Elephas maximus indicus: one gene and its partner. The protein of the gene in region 1 purifies or fractionates together with the protein of each later gene. This does not show direct contact. Links are inferred from orthologs where the notes say so. Each region holds a gene or a part of one and is shown in the gene's direction. Other genes may lie near its edges.

Region 1 (7,650 bases):
ATTCTTTGGGTGCCTTCCCTTGGAAAACCCTAGACTGTGCCAAGGAAGGCTTCTTGGGGGGTGGGGCCGCAATCATGTGCAGAAACATAAATTCCATGGGCCCTTGGAAAAGGGCATGGCCTGTGGATGGTGGGAATTTGGAGCAGGATGGTCTTGAGTTCAAATTCTGGCTCTGCAGCGCACCAGCTAGAGTATGGGCAAGTTACTTAACCACTTGGAGCCTCAGTTTGCTCTTTTGTGAAATGGGGATAATCAGAATAGCCATGTCAAAATGTCACTATGAGGACTGAACAATGTGTGCATGGGGCCTGTTCATTGTTGTTACCAGAGTCAGGGACATGCTAAGCGGAGTTTGGGCAAAGGCTGCAGATCCCAGTGGGAAATGGCTTCGAGTAGGCCCCAAGCTGCCATAACCCCAAACTGAGAGCTGGCCTCAAGCCCTGAACTGCTCTCCCCCACCCTGACCCTGACCCTGACCCTGACTGCGGGGCTCCGTCTGGCAGGCTAGAGTTCCGCATGGCCTCAGACCTCAGTCACATCCTGAAGCTCCTTCAGCAGCCTCTGCCACAGGGCCACCCCAGCTATATCCTGGGAGCCCCTGCCTCCAAGGACCTGGCCTTGTTTCCTGTGACCTCAGCAACTCCAAGACCAGGTCCCAGGCTGGCCCAGGGCCATCTGCCTCCTGCACAGGTGAGCAGGTGAGGGACCCCCAGGGGCTTTCCTGGAGGTAGCTGCTTGCTTTCCCACACCCCCAACTCGTTCCAATGTGGCTTCAGGCTCAGGGCCTCTGTGCTCCTAGAGCAGCTGTGGCTTCTGTTGTCCCCCTTTATGGCTTGAACCATGACAGGGCAGCCTGGACGGGGCAGCGGCAAAGTCCAGAAAGTGACCACAGACCCCCAGCTGGGGCAAAGGTAACAGGACCCTGTGCTGTGAAGGAGCAGGCACACCTCCAGCCAGCCCCCACCCCTGAAGTTGGGGTGGCTTAACCCATAGCCTGGCCTGGGAGGCTCTTCACACTGCATGCCTCTTTCTTGCCCCTCCCAGACCCCAGGCTGTGGTGACTTGGACCAATGTAGGCTGACGCACAGGAATGCCTCCTCCAGGATGCATCACCTGGTCGTGGCAATGGACAACCCCCTGACACCATCCTTGGAACAGGAGCAGCCCCAGGGGCTCCTGTCACCCTTGGCCTCACCTCTGTGGGACACAGACGGACAGGGACTTGTCTGTGGTCCCCGCTTCCCCTCCCTCCCTGAACACCTTGGCTCTGTCCCCAAGCAGCTGGAGTTCCAGAGATATGGCTCAGATCCTGGATTTGCAGGGTGTTAAAGCTACTGAATCCCAAGATAAAAGACACCATGAGAGGACTGAAGGTGGGTGAGAGTTGAGGATCCTCAGGGAGGCAGACAGCCTCCAAAATGGGCCTCTGAAAATCATTCCCCTAGAGTAGGTTCATACTGGTAACCCAGGTGACCCAAAAGGGCACGGTGAAGAGACTCTGGACTTTTCCCACCCTCCCCCAGGGCTCTGTTTAGACAGCAAGCCTGGTGAAGGATTGGGAGGGGGAGTGACTCTGATGTGCAGGTAACTTACAGGAGTGAGGGGTCAGTGAGGTAAAGAGAAGTTTCTGATCTGTGTGAGAGTCTTGCTCTGGGCTCGGCAGGATTATCCCTCAACTCAGAAACAGCCCCTGTACGTGGCCCAGCAACCACGGCCCAGGATCGATCAGGCCTCCTGCCGAGAGCCTCTGACCCAGCTGGAGGTGAAGGTGCCCTCTGTGGTAGACATGCCAATTCACAGAGCTCCAGCCCTCAGCTGCTTCACCCCTAACAGTTCTGTGATGACCTTTGGGCCCCTTCTGGGCAGTGGAGTGCCACACAGTTAATAAATTCGGCACATTTCCTGTTTAGCCAGGTATGTAAACTTACCTGAGGGTCATCAGGTCCTTGACTGTGCCATGACTCCAACATCTGTGGTTTTCCCCAAGCCCTTCTCACAAAGAGCTGGGGGTTCATCCTCCAAATCTACCATGTTGGGGACCTGAAGGTGGCTCCGCTGAGCCCAGGAGCCCTTGGAGCATAGCCAGGCTAGGGCGAAGGGAAGCAGAGAGGTGCTGGCTTGGTGGCCATCTGGAATCATGACAACAGCCAACACTCCCGTGGCACTCACCCCGTGCTGGGCACCACGCTGACTGCTCTGAAGATATTCATTCATCTAATTCTCCCAACAACCTTATGGGGTCAGTATAATTATTCCCATTTTAGAGATGTGGAATCAGTAATCAGAAACTTACCTGAGTATGAGGGGGACTTCTGGGTGCTGATGTTGTTCTGTTTCTTGATCTGGGTGCTGGTTACATGAATGTGTGTTCATGTCGTTAAAAAATATGTACACTTCTATGTGTAAATTATACTTCAATTAAAAAATAAAAAGAATCTTGCCCAACACAGTAGGAAAAGGAGGACATAACTTCAACCCAAGGAGCAGCAGCCCTGGTGGCACAGTAGTTAAGTGCTCAGCTGCTAATTGAAAAGTTGGCAGTTTGAACCAACCCATCTGCTCCACGGGAGAAAGACTTGGTGATCTGCTCTTATAAAGATTAACAACAATAACAAACCTGTTGCTGTCGAGTTGATTCCAACTCATAGCCACCCTGCAGGACAGAGTACAACTGCCTCATAGGGTTTCCAAGGCTGTAATCTTTACCGAAGAAGACTGCCACATTTTTCTCCTGAAGAGCAGCTAGTGAGTTCAAACTACTGACCTTTCAGGGGCCGAGCACTTTAACCACTGTGCCACCAGGCTGTCCTACTATGTCACATGGGGTCGTTATGAGTAGAAAATCAACTTGATGGCACCTAAATTTTTTAACAAAACAATTTCAACCCAGATAGTCTGGCCTGACAGCCTGTGCAGTTAGCTGCAAAGGGCTATTGTTCAAAAAGGTCCTCATCACTGGTCTTCAGTTATTTTGCACAAATATTCTCTAAAGGAAATCTGACATCTTTTGAAGTTGACATCTGAATTGTTTCATTGGTAAGTTTAAATTGTCGCAAAGGATGTAATTTCCATTGGGTTGTAAATATTGACACAACTGTACTGTTTTGTCCCTCATTTATATTGATCCATTTGCATCCAAATAGCTTAGTGACTTGAGAGCCACCATGGGCCATTTTAAAGACACAAGAACAAACCTTCTTCAACATCATTCCTTTTTCTCTTCAAACTCGTAATTCCATTCTAGCCACCATCCCCATTTTATGCACCATGTAATTTATTTTCATGCTTCAAAGTCTATTATTGAGCATCCTATCATATCTGCTTGCAACACAAATATGTATATAAACTGAAATTTTAAAATTAAATTTTGTAAACTTACTAAGGCTTTATTAGTAGTACCGAGTTGTTTAAAACAACAAATATATATTCACATTTTTATAAAAATTAACATTTTATTGGAAATGCACCTCTTAAAGAGATTGCATGGGGATTTTTTCCCCCAATTAGTTAGTTCATTTATCTGTGGATGAATATCATTTTTTAAGAGGATAAGACAAAGTTCAGCAACAGTTTTGTTTGTATTTTTCTTTTTTTTATTAAACTTAAGCACAGAGAAAACTTGCTCACACAAATAAGATGGGACTGGAAGGGATTTATTAAAACGTCACTTAATTCTTTCAATTCTTTCCAAGTTGTCTGTTAAAAATCACATCGACCATTAAAAATTATATTTAATGATATCATCTAACAATCCACTACAATCCTTCAATTTTGTTGAAAGCAAAGAATTGGAAACCATGTAAAGTATAAAAAGTTGTTACCCAGATTCGAGACCTGCATTTTCTCCATTTCAAACTCACAGCGCAGATAAATTTAAGGCTTGATTGACATACGCCTTGGGATGCGCTGCGGGGAAGGGATGGGCATAGACAGAAGCTTAGAGCCAAGCTGGTCACGTTGCTGCTAATTGAGGACCAACCGGAGAATTCAATTCGGAGATTTTTCTGGAATTGCAGGAAAGCGCAGGCAGGCCTCACTGAACCCGGCGTGGTCCTAACTAAGCCATCGGTCGGTCTGCAAAAGGCGTGCCGGAGGCCTTTCCTTTAGACACTGGGAAAACGCTGCCCGGGTTCAAAGGGGCGTTGGGACGAGTGGGAAGGGAGGGTGACTCCTGTTTGGCGCGGGCCAAGCTGCCTGGCCGCAAGGCCCCCCCATTATTGCAGAATTTTAATTTTACTCGACAGCTTGGGGAGGCCGCTCAGAATAGAAGCAGCAGAGGGGAGGTCAGAGCAGGTCACGCAAGAGGTTTCATTCTCAGAGACTTGACCTAGAACTTGGAGACCTGCTGCCCGGCACGTTGAACTCTATATCACCCACGCCCCCATTCACCAGCAGTGCACCGTTATCTCTCGGACTGACATTTGTACCAGCCAATGGCCTTCGGGTCTGCGAAAGCCCCGCCCCATGATTGGGAGGGGCGAGAAATTGGAGTGACGTAGTGAGGAGGTGTCAAAACCTCCGGGCACAATAACCAATCAGGCGAAGGAACTGTTCGAAAGGACGTGTCAGGCAGCCAACGGCCGGCGACGCTGCGCGGGTCGCGTGGCTTCCGTTCCGAGTGGGCGGGGCGGTGTCCCAAACGGAAGGTGGTTTTTGTCGGTGCCGAAGCTGGTTTGAAAGTGGGGGTCGGGCCAGGCCGCCGTTGTCTGTCGCCGCGGCCCCGCTTCCGGGCTAGGCTGTCCCTGCCTGCCCCGCCTCCCTTCAGACCCCTCGGTCCCAGGCTCGGCTCCCCGCCCAACTCGCGCCCCGCCCGCTGCCTCCGACTGCGGACCCGGCCCGCACTGCGGCCCAGCCGCCGCCACCATGTCCCTGCACGGCAAACGGAAGGAGATCTACAAGTATGAAGCGCCCTGGACGGTCTACGCCATGAACTGGAGCGTGCGGCCCGACAAGCGCTTTCGCCTGGCGCTGGGCAGCTTCGTGGAGGAGTACAACAACAAGGTGGGCCGGGCAGGGGCTCGGAGCCCAGCTGGCGGGGAGCGGGCCCCGGGAGCGCCCTTTCCGGGCCGGAGCCCAGACCCCAGAGCCCTCCTGCGGACTTGCCTTGGCGTCCTGGAGCGGTTCCTGTGTGTCTTGCCCGGTGCTGAGGGTTTTGCACTCGTTGTCTCATTTAATCCTGGCAGATTCCCGTGTAGTCGGGAGTGTAGTTACCTCCGTTTTACTGATGGGGAAACTGAAGCACAATATCGTGACTTGCTGAGCTAGGCAGCTATTTCATGGCCGAAACAGATCTGAAACCCGAGCTTCCACGCCAAGGCTACACCGTTTATCTTTTTCAACCGCCTCCCCTCCTGCCGCATTGCTTCAGTTTGGGGGGCGGGGGTGGGAGGAATTAATGGCTGTGAGGGAAAATGCAGGCATTAGAGTTGGTAGCCCTTCACTTCTGGCACAGACTTCCCCCTCCCCCCACTCCCATCCCCAGATACTATTCATGGTTCCCCTGGCCCTTCTGCCAGGAGTGCCATCGCTATTGCTGCCTGATAGCCATTCCTTCCAAAGCGATGTCTTTTTGAAAGTCTTGGCCCATGGCCATGATCCCGTCATTGTTTCCTAAATAGAGAAGGATGACACTTTGCCTTATCTTTCCTTGGCTCCTTTCCTGCTAATACAGATGTGTAACCTTGAGTAGTAAGTCTTTCTGGGCATCCATCAATTTGAGAGTCCTTCATAGAAGCGTTGGTAGTAGGGGAAGCTTTTACGCTGGCAGTGCAGCATACGTTTATTTTCTGAAGTTGTTGAATAAGGAATTTTCTTTCCTTTATTCTTTAAGCTCTTCCTTTTATTGTATCAGAGTAAAAGTTGTGATTGATAGTGATCAGAGCAACTGAAAGCCTTGGCTGTTGATATTTAGAGCCAGAGCTCCCGCTTAAACCATGAACACCAGAAAACTAAAATTATGTGGAGAGTGACAGGCATGGCGCAGAGGGAAAAAGTCACGCTGTCTAGGGTCAGGTCCTGTCTGGTCCCTTGATTAGCTGTGGGGCATTGCACAGGGCAGTTGTATTTCTGACCCACAGTTTGTTGTAGGAAGGAGGTTTCTTTTTACATGTGATGGTCTTGTAGAAAGCATTTGAAATGTTTATATTTCTTTTGTGTGTAGTTTTTCAGGAGCACATCTGTTTCTTTAGAGTAGGTCGTAACTACTTGGGAGTCCCCTTTGAGAAAACGTTGAAAACAATGGACTTTGCTCAGATATTGCACGTGAACAATTTACAAATCTCAAGGAGTACAAACTGATCTCGAAGCCCACCCACTGGCCACAGAAAACGGAGAATCGGGAGCAAGACATAGCTTTATTTCCTTTTCTCTGGTGATTTTTATTCCTTATGGAGCATAGTGGATGGCAGAGCTGGAAAAGGAATTTAAAGCCCTGGTGTGGAAACCAGATTATTAAAATTAAGACCACTAGAACTATTGTTAAGGGTACATGTTAAAAAAAAAAAGAGGTAAAATATGACTTCCAAAGGGCATATGAGTCTTTTCACACAAATTGATAATTTTTTTCTTGCAAGTATTTCCAGGGTTAATTTGGGTAAGAAGTCATAGTCTCATTTCTAAGAGAGGGAAAACTGAGTCACAGTTAGGTTACCAAAGAATCTGTGGAATAATTGGTGTTAAATCTCGGTTTTGGGAACTCTGCCCCCACATTCGGCCTTCCATTCAGCAACCGTATGGAGCTCCTTCTTTGTGTTGGGCACACAAGCAATGTTGCCTTAGTAGTAAAATGCAAACTAATAATCCCAGTAGTAACAGAATAAGCAGTTGACTGTGTTTTAACTCTGAGTCCCTGAGTGGGACAAACAATGCATTCAGCTGCTATTAGTGGTTGGAGTCTGGCAACGTGGGGTCGTCATGAATCAGAGCCGACTCGCTAGTAACTGGTTTGGTTTTTTGGCTTTATATTTGAACTCATTTATGTGATGTAGGCATATTATGGAAACCCTGGTGGTGTAGTGGTTAAGTGCTACAGCTGCTAACCCAAGGGTCGGCAGTTCAAATCTGCCAGGTGCTCTTTGGAAACTCTACGGGGCAGTTCTACTCTGTCCTATAGGGTCACTAGGAGTCGGAATTGACTTGACGGCAGTGGGTTTGGTTTTTTTGGGTTTTTCTAGGCAAATTATTTTTGTGTCTCCATCTATCTGTAGTTCAGGGTTCTTAGCTTTTGTGTGTGTGTGTTGTGTATGTGTGTGCCATGGACACCTTTGACGATCTAAAGTCTATAGCCTGCTTCTCAGAATGATGTTTTCAAATGCGTAAACATATATAGGATTACAAAGGAAGCCAATTATATTGAACTATAGTTATCAAAACTTTTGAAAAGTGGTGATAAAGTAATATGTGCTTTTAAATTAACTCATTAAATTGTATCATCTAGTGTAATTGTTATTGTAATTTTGAAATGGTTATGAAGGTAAACAACTTTTCATAATATATTTCACAAATATAATGTGATATGAAAAAATCAATGATTTCTATTGGTGACAAAGTCACGGATATTGCTAATGCTGCTGTGGGTGACTGCCTCCATTTGTAATTAAAAGAAATGCTTAATTTCAGCTAGAGATTGATGAAAATATAATTTTCTGATCC
Region 2 (6,983 bases), on another chromosome or scaffold:
AATAATTTTAATTGTACTTTAGATGAAGGTTTACAGAACAACTAGCTTCTCATTAAACAGTTTGAACACATATTGCTTTATGACATTGGTTAACAACCCCAGGACATGTCAACACTCTCCCTTCTCAACCTTGGGTTCCCTATCATCAGCTTTCCTGTCCCCTCTTGTCTTCCAGTACTTGCCCCTGGGCTGGTGTGCCCCTTTAGCCTCTTTTTGTTTTATGGGCCTGTCTCATCTTTGGACGAAGGGTGAACCTCAGGAATGACCTCATTACTGAGCTAAAAGGGTGTTGGGAGCCATACTCTCAGGGTTTCTCCAGTCTCTGTTGGGACAGTAAGTCTGGTCTTTTTTTGTGAGATAGAATTTTGTTCTACATTTTTCTTCAGGTCTTTCTGGGACCCTCTATTGTGATCTCTGTGAGAGTAGTCAGTGGTGGTAGCCAGGCACCATCTAGTTGTGCTGAACTCAGTCTGGCGGAGGCTGTTGTAGTTGTGGTCCATTAGTCCTTTGGACTAATCTTTCCCTTGTGCCTTTGGTTTTCTTCATTCTTCCTTGCTCTAGATGGGGTAACATCAGTAGAGTATCTTAGATGCCTGCTCACAGGCTTTTAAGACCCTAGAAAAAATATTTTTGTTGAAAGTTTACACACCATATTAGGTTCCCATTTAACAATTTTCTACACAAATTGTTCAGTGACATTAGCTGCATTTTTCACAGTCTATCAACATTCTCATTATTCCTGTTCTGGTTGTTCCATTTCCAGTAATCTAGTTTCCCTGGACCCTTCTCAGTAAGTCTTGAGTCTCTGGCCTACCCATACTTTTTATATATTTTCACGTATATACTTATGCCTCCCTTTATAGATATATAGATTTGGGGAGTATGATGGTTTAGGTGAAGCATCAGCTTGGTTAGGCCATGATTCTCAGTGGTTTGCTTCACTGGCTTTAATCCTTTAGAGATCCCAGCCCAAGACATTTGGTACTGGAAGAGTGGGGTGTTGCTCCAACAGATACCTAAAATAGGGAAGCAGTTTTAGAGTTGGGCAATGGATAGAGGCTGGGTTTTAAGGTGCCTAATGGAAAAAGCCAAGCAGCCCTAGTGGTTAAAGCACTCGGCTGCTAATGGAAAGGTCAGTGGTTCAAAACCACCCGTGGCTCCCTGGGAGAAAGATGTGGCACTCTGCTTCTGTAAAGATTTACAGCCTTGGAAACCCTATGAGGCAGTTCTACTCTGTCCTATAGGGTCACTATGAGTCGGAATTTACTTGATAGCTGTGGGTTTGGCTTAGTGAGTTTAATAGAAAAAACCTAGACTGTCTTGAAGAGACTGTTGGTGAAGTTATGGACGTCAAAAGCAATTCTGATGAAGGCTCAGAAGGAAGTGAGGAGAACTGTAGACGAAATCTCTATCGTCTTAGAAAATACATACGGTGCAGGAACAGGATGTTGCTAGAAATGTGGACGTTAAATGTGCTCCTGGTGAGGCTTTAAAAGAAAATGATGAACGTGTGATTGGACACTGGAGGAAGGGCGATGCTTTTTATGCAGTGGCAAAGAACTTGTCTCAATTATGTTCAAACATTTGGTGGAAAGTGATGAACTTGGACAGCTGGCTGATGAGATTTCTAAGCAAGATCTTAAAAGGGCTGTATGGTTTCTCCGCGCTGCTTACAGTAAGATCTGGGCTGGATTACCCAATAAGCAAGGTACGAATGGGCTTACTTGTGCATACGTACTAATCTGTAGTGAACAATTTTCTCCTGTTTTTCAGGACATCAAAGATGTGGTGAAACCATGTGAAACTGTTCACTAGCTTAGTAAGGACAAACTAAGGACATGTGTCCAAGAATGTTCACCAAGGACAGGGCTACACAATCTTTTGTTAAAGAGATTAAGCCTGTGACTGCTAGATCTAACCAACCACTACAGTAGAATACCCATCTTCCAGGAAGAAAACTCTTTGCTACCTGGAATTCTACAGGCAGGAAACAGGCCAAAGAAGGTACATTTGTTGTCCTCCACGAAAAGAAAAGGACCATCCCTGGAGCAGAACTGCTGGAAGGAGCACTGGAAGTAGGGTCTTCTCAGTTTCAGAGGGTGAGGCCATGTCTCCTATATCTCAAAGGTGGGGCCACAGCCTCCTAGGTTTCAAAGAGTCAAATCTTTGCCAACTCCGTTCTGGAGCATGGGGCTGCTGTTAAGTCGTGCAGGGGGGTGGCGCCACCACCCAAAGCTGAGGGGGTGGGTCTGCCATGTCCAAGTGACAGAAAAATGGGGCTTACCAGCACTGAGGGAGTGGGGTCACCACTAAGATGGACTAGGAGAATGGGGCCACCGAAAGTCAAGGGAGCAGAGATGCTGTCCCAATGGGCCTGGAAGGGGAAGCCAAAGCCCAGGTCTGGACGGCCTCCTCTGAGAATCCAGGGAGCATGTCCAACACCCAGAGTCTGGAGGGCAGGGTCATTGCCCAGATGGTACCAAGGAACGGAGGATTATTCTCAAGCCTTGAGAGCTAATGTAAATTGTTCTGCTGAGGTTTGTGTTTGCTTGGTGCCTGTTATCCCTTCTTTCCCTCTAATTTCTCCCATCTGTAATGGAAATGTCTACCTCATGCCTGTTCCATCAGTGTAGTTTGTAAACAGATAACTCGTAGTCTACATTTCACAGGTTCACAATGAAGAGGAATTTTGTCCCAGGATGGAATAAACCTAAAATCTCACCCAGAATTTATTTAGATGCTTCAGAAGATGAGATTTTGGACTTGGAGTTGATTTAAGACTTTTGGTATGGTATGACGGGATGAATGTGTTTTACACGTGGCAAGAACATGAATTTGGGGGGGGCAAAGGATGGAATGTTATTAATTGAATTATGTCCCCCCAAACATGTGATGTGAATCCTCATTTCAATGCCAGTGGTTATAATCCCATTTGGGAATGGGTGGTCTTTATTATGTTAATGACACAGGATAAGAGTAGGGTGTATTTTGAGTCAATCTCTTCTGAGATATAAAAGAGATTAAACCAGTAAGAAAAGCAAGAAAAGCAGAGATGGAGGAAGAGAGGTGCCAAGCCACATGAAGATCGCCCAGGAGCAGAACCTCAGAAGTGACAAAGATCTCCCTCCAGAGATGACAGAAAGAGAAAGCCTTCTCCTAGAGCTGGCACTCTGAATTCAGATGTCTGGCCTCCTACACTCTGAGGGAATAAATTTCTGTTTGTAAAGCCACCCACTTGCGGCACTTGTTTTAGCAGCACTGGAGAATTAACACAGTGCCCCTTTGGAGTCAATTCCCCCATTCCGCCCACCCTCCCCCACGCAACCAGTGATCTGCTGTCGCTATACATTTTTTCTGCTCTAGAATTTAATTCACATGGGATATGTGAGTTATATGTATCAAGGTATAAATATATACACACATATGTACATGTATATGTTGTTGTTGTTAGGTGTCCTGTAGTCAGGTCCGACTCATAGCGACCCCTATGCACCACAGAACGAAACACTGCCCGGTCCTGTGCCATCCTCACAATTGTTGCTACCTTCAGCCCACTATGGCAGCGACTGTGTCAATCCATGTCGCTGACGGTCTTCCTCTTTTTCACTGAATCTCTACTTTGTCAAGCATGTGTGTTGCATCACAGCAACACACAAGACCCACAGTACCACAAACTGACAACCTGCACACCCAGCCACCTTGTTCTCAGGTCCCAGGCTCCGGGCCCAGCGCCATAGCGGAACCCTTTGGGTCCAGGGCTGCCGGGGCCACACTGTGCCCGGACTCAATGGCGCTGAGGACCCGGATGCGGATGTGGAGAGGAAGGCGGGACCACAGGCCCGCGACCCAATGAACGGGCCCAGCCTACCGGCGGCCCAATGATGGCGGCGCGCAGGCACGCTGGGGGAGGAGCGGGCTCGCCCGACTTTTCCAGAAGGGTGCGGATCTTGCCTCCCGTCCACGCTGAGCGGGCCTTGGGGTTTCCGGTGGTCCGGTCTTATCTTCTTCCTCTACTGCGCCCACCATGGCGGCCGTGAAGACCCTGAACCCCAAGGCCGAGGTGGCCCGAGCCCAGGCGGCGCTGGCGGTCAACATCAGCGCGGCCCGGGGGCTGCAGGACGTGCTGAGGACCAACCTGGGGCCCAAGGGCACCATGAAGATGTGAGTCGGGGCTGGCGGAGGGCGGGCCTGGGGCCGCGAGCCACGCGCCGCGGCGGGAAGGCGGGCCCCGGGTTCGAACCTGCGCCTGCGAGCCTCCACGTGGGCCTCCCGCCAGCGTGGCCGTTTCCTCCTGTCGGTGCCGTTTCCGCGGAGAACAAAGCTGCCCTCGTGCGCTCGCCCCGCACGTTCCAGCCACAGCGAGCTCCCGGCTCGCGTTCTCAGGGGCCGGGGTACGCCTTTCTGTAGACCGGGAGGAGGGACCCAGCCCCGCAGCCGCGGCCCCCGGGAATCTGGGAAAAGCCCGGCTTTTATGGGACGTTTGCTTTGCTCTCCGTTTGGGGGGTGGGGGGAATCACACTGATTCGTTTCCATTGAACAGGCTTGTTTCTGGTGCCGGAGACATCAAGCTGACTAAGGATGGCAACGTGCTGCTCCATGAAATGGTGAGAAATCTCGTCCACATCCAGAGTGGCTTGATTTTCCATAGGGCTTTTGATTTGTAGCAAAATTTCCAATGTCTGTTTTTCAGGTAGGAGAAAGTTAATATGGGTCGGCAGGTTGTGAGTAGGGAAGGAGCAGAAAAGAGTGTCATCAGTAATAACACCGAAGGAACAATACGGTGGGGAGCCCTGCAGCCGCACAGACCGAAATGTGACTCATTTAAAATTTTGGTTAAGGGATCGTAATTATTAAACTTTATTATGGTAAAATCTGTAAAAACCAAGAGTGGTTAACAGAAACTGGTGGGCGAATGACCTGGAATATGAGATTTTTGAGATGAACACTTAATTATCACTGAGTTCTCGAAATCTAACAGTTCAAATTCAGAAAGAGGAAGTGTGTTGCCTGTGATTTGTGTTCAGAATAAAATTTAGGATTTTGGTAGTAATACAGCATGTCACCAACATCCATGTGTTTATAAATATCGTTAGTAAGGGCTAGCTAACCTAGAAGGTGCAATTTGTTTTTTTAATTTTTTATTGTACATTAGATGAACTTTACAGAGCAAATTAGTTGTCATTAAATAATTAATACACGTATTGTTTTGTGATATTGGTTGCCAACCCCATGACTTGTCCGCGCTCTTCCCCTTCTTTACTTTGGGTACCCTGTTACCAGCTCTCCTGTCCCCTCCTGCCTTCTCGTCTTTGTCCCTGATCTGGTGTGCCCGTTTAGTCTCATTTTGTTTTATGGGCTTGTCGAATCTTTGGTTGAAGGGTGAACCTTAGGAGTGACTTCAGTACTGAGGTAAAAGGGTGTCCACAGGTTTCTTCAGTCTCTGTCAGACCAGTAAGTCTGGTCTTTTTTGTGTGAGTTAGAAGCAGTTCGTTTATTTTTAACAGGCTAAATGGCGGTCCCTGCCAGCAGGGACCAGTTGGAGCCATAGTTTAAATGTGAGGTCAGTCAGAAGAGTTGTATCTCCATAGCAAGTGTTATTACAGAGAACTTTCATAAAATTTGCAATTCTTTGGTCAGAGGCTTATTTCCTTTTTATTGTGAAATACAACAAAAAAAGAAAATATTTACAGTTTAACTTATAACTTTAAACTGAACGCATGTAGCCCCCACCTTAGTTAAGAAAGCCCGAGAAATTTAACATTGATACAGTATAGTCTAGTACAAGGTCCCTATTTGTTTTCACAGTTGTCCCTTTAAATGGCCTTTATATAGCTCCTTATGATGGTTGTATTCCCAGATTATGGACAGAAAGGTCTGTAATTTGACATGTGCCCCCTGTGCCTTACACAGTGAGAAGTATACAGTGACACCTGTGTGGTGTTTTTAGCAAAAATATTTAACGTCAGCAAATTTAGATAATGAGATAGTCTGTGAGATGACTGGCCTGAATTCTTAAAAGTATCTTCAAAGACATAACAGGCTAGGGAAGTGTTCTAGATTAAAGGAGGGTAAGGCAGCATGAAAACCAGATGCCCTGCAGGATCCTTGATTCAGTCCTTTGTAATTGAGTCTTCGTGGGGTGATGTTGGAGACATGGTGAATATCCTGTTCTTCCAGAACCTGTCCACACAGTGATTCTGCATCTATTGATGGTGTTTGCTGCAAGGGCTTTTTAAGTTATTTGGTCAATGTCACGTAATGTTGGAGGCTGCTGAGCTTTCATTTCAGAAGGCACCTAGCTTATTCTTTTTTTTTTTTAATGTGCTTTAAGTGAAAGTTTACTTATCAAGTTAGTCTCTCATATAAAAACTTACACACCTTGTTGTTTACTCCTAGCTGCTCTCCCCCTAATGAGACACCCTATATTCCCTGTGTCCATTCAGCCTTTTTTTTTATTCAGCCAGCTTCTGTCCCCCTCTGCCTTCTCATCTCCCCTCCAGACAGGAGCTGTCCATATAGTCTCATGTGTCTCCTTGAGCTAAGAAGCTCACTCCTCACCAGTATCGTTTTCTATCTTATAGTCCAGTCCAATCCCTGTTTGAAGAGTTAGCATCAGGAATGGTTCCAGTCTTGGGCTAACAGAGGGTCTGGGGACCATGACCTTTAGGGTCCCTTCAGTCTCGGTCAGACCCATTAAGTCTAGTCTTTTCATGAGAACCTGAGGTCTGCATCCGATTGTTCTCCTGCTCCATCAGGGATTCTCAGTTGTGTTCCCTGTCAGGGCCCTGTCAGGGCATTCATCGGTGGTAGCCGGATACCATCTAGTTCTTCTGGTTCCAGGCTGAAGTAGTCTCTGGTTCATGTGGCCCTTTCTGTCTCTTGGGCTCATCTTTACCTTGTGTCTTTGGTGGTCTTCATTCTGCTATTTACCTTGCATGTTTGGTGGTCGTCATTCTCCTTTGCTCCAGGTGGGTTGAGACCAA

Evidence for each region. The genes of interacting proteins can lie anywhere in the genome.
Region 2: the proteins of DCAF7 (region 1) and CCT6A purify together in Homo sapiens (affinity purification with mass spectrometry; 3 studies listed by BioGRID and IntAct, counting the BioPlex papers as one, with this or other methods). This does not show direct contact. The link is inferred for Elephas maximus indicus from reciprocal best matches to the Homo sapiens genes DCAF7 and CCT6A.

What each region holds. Positions count from the first base shown.
Region 1 is NC_064837.1:54,787,334-54,794,983, forward strand, and holds the start of DCAF7 (DDB1- and CUL4-associated factor 7), read left to right. Parts: upstream 1-4,634; 5' UTR 4,635-4,863; coding exon 4,864-5,001; intron 5,002-7,650. Other genes in the region: KCNH6 (potassium voltage-gated channel subfamily H member 6), read left to right, coding at 504-690, 1,045-1,329. UniProt on the Homo sapiens protein: Involved in craniofacial development. Acts upstream of the EDN1 pathway and is required for formation of the upper jaw equivalent, the palatoquadrate. The activity required for EDN1 pathway function differs between the first and second arches.
Region 2 is NC_064830.1:103,112,682-103,119,664, forward strand, and holds the start of CCT6A (T-complex protein 1 subunit zeta), read left to right. Parts: upstream 1-3,913; 5' UTR 3,914-4,024; coding exon 4,025-4,161; intron 4,162-4,540; coding exon 4,541-4,604; intron 4,605-6,983. UniProt on the Homo sapiens protein: Component of the chaperonin-containing T-complex (TRiC), a molecular chaperone complex that assists the folding of actin, tubulin and other proteins upon ATP hydrolysis.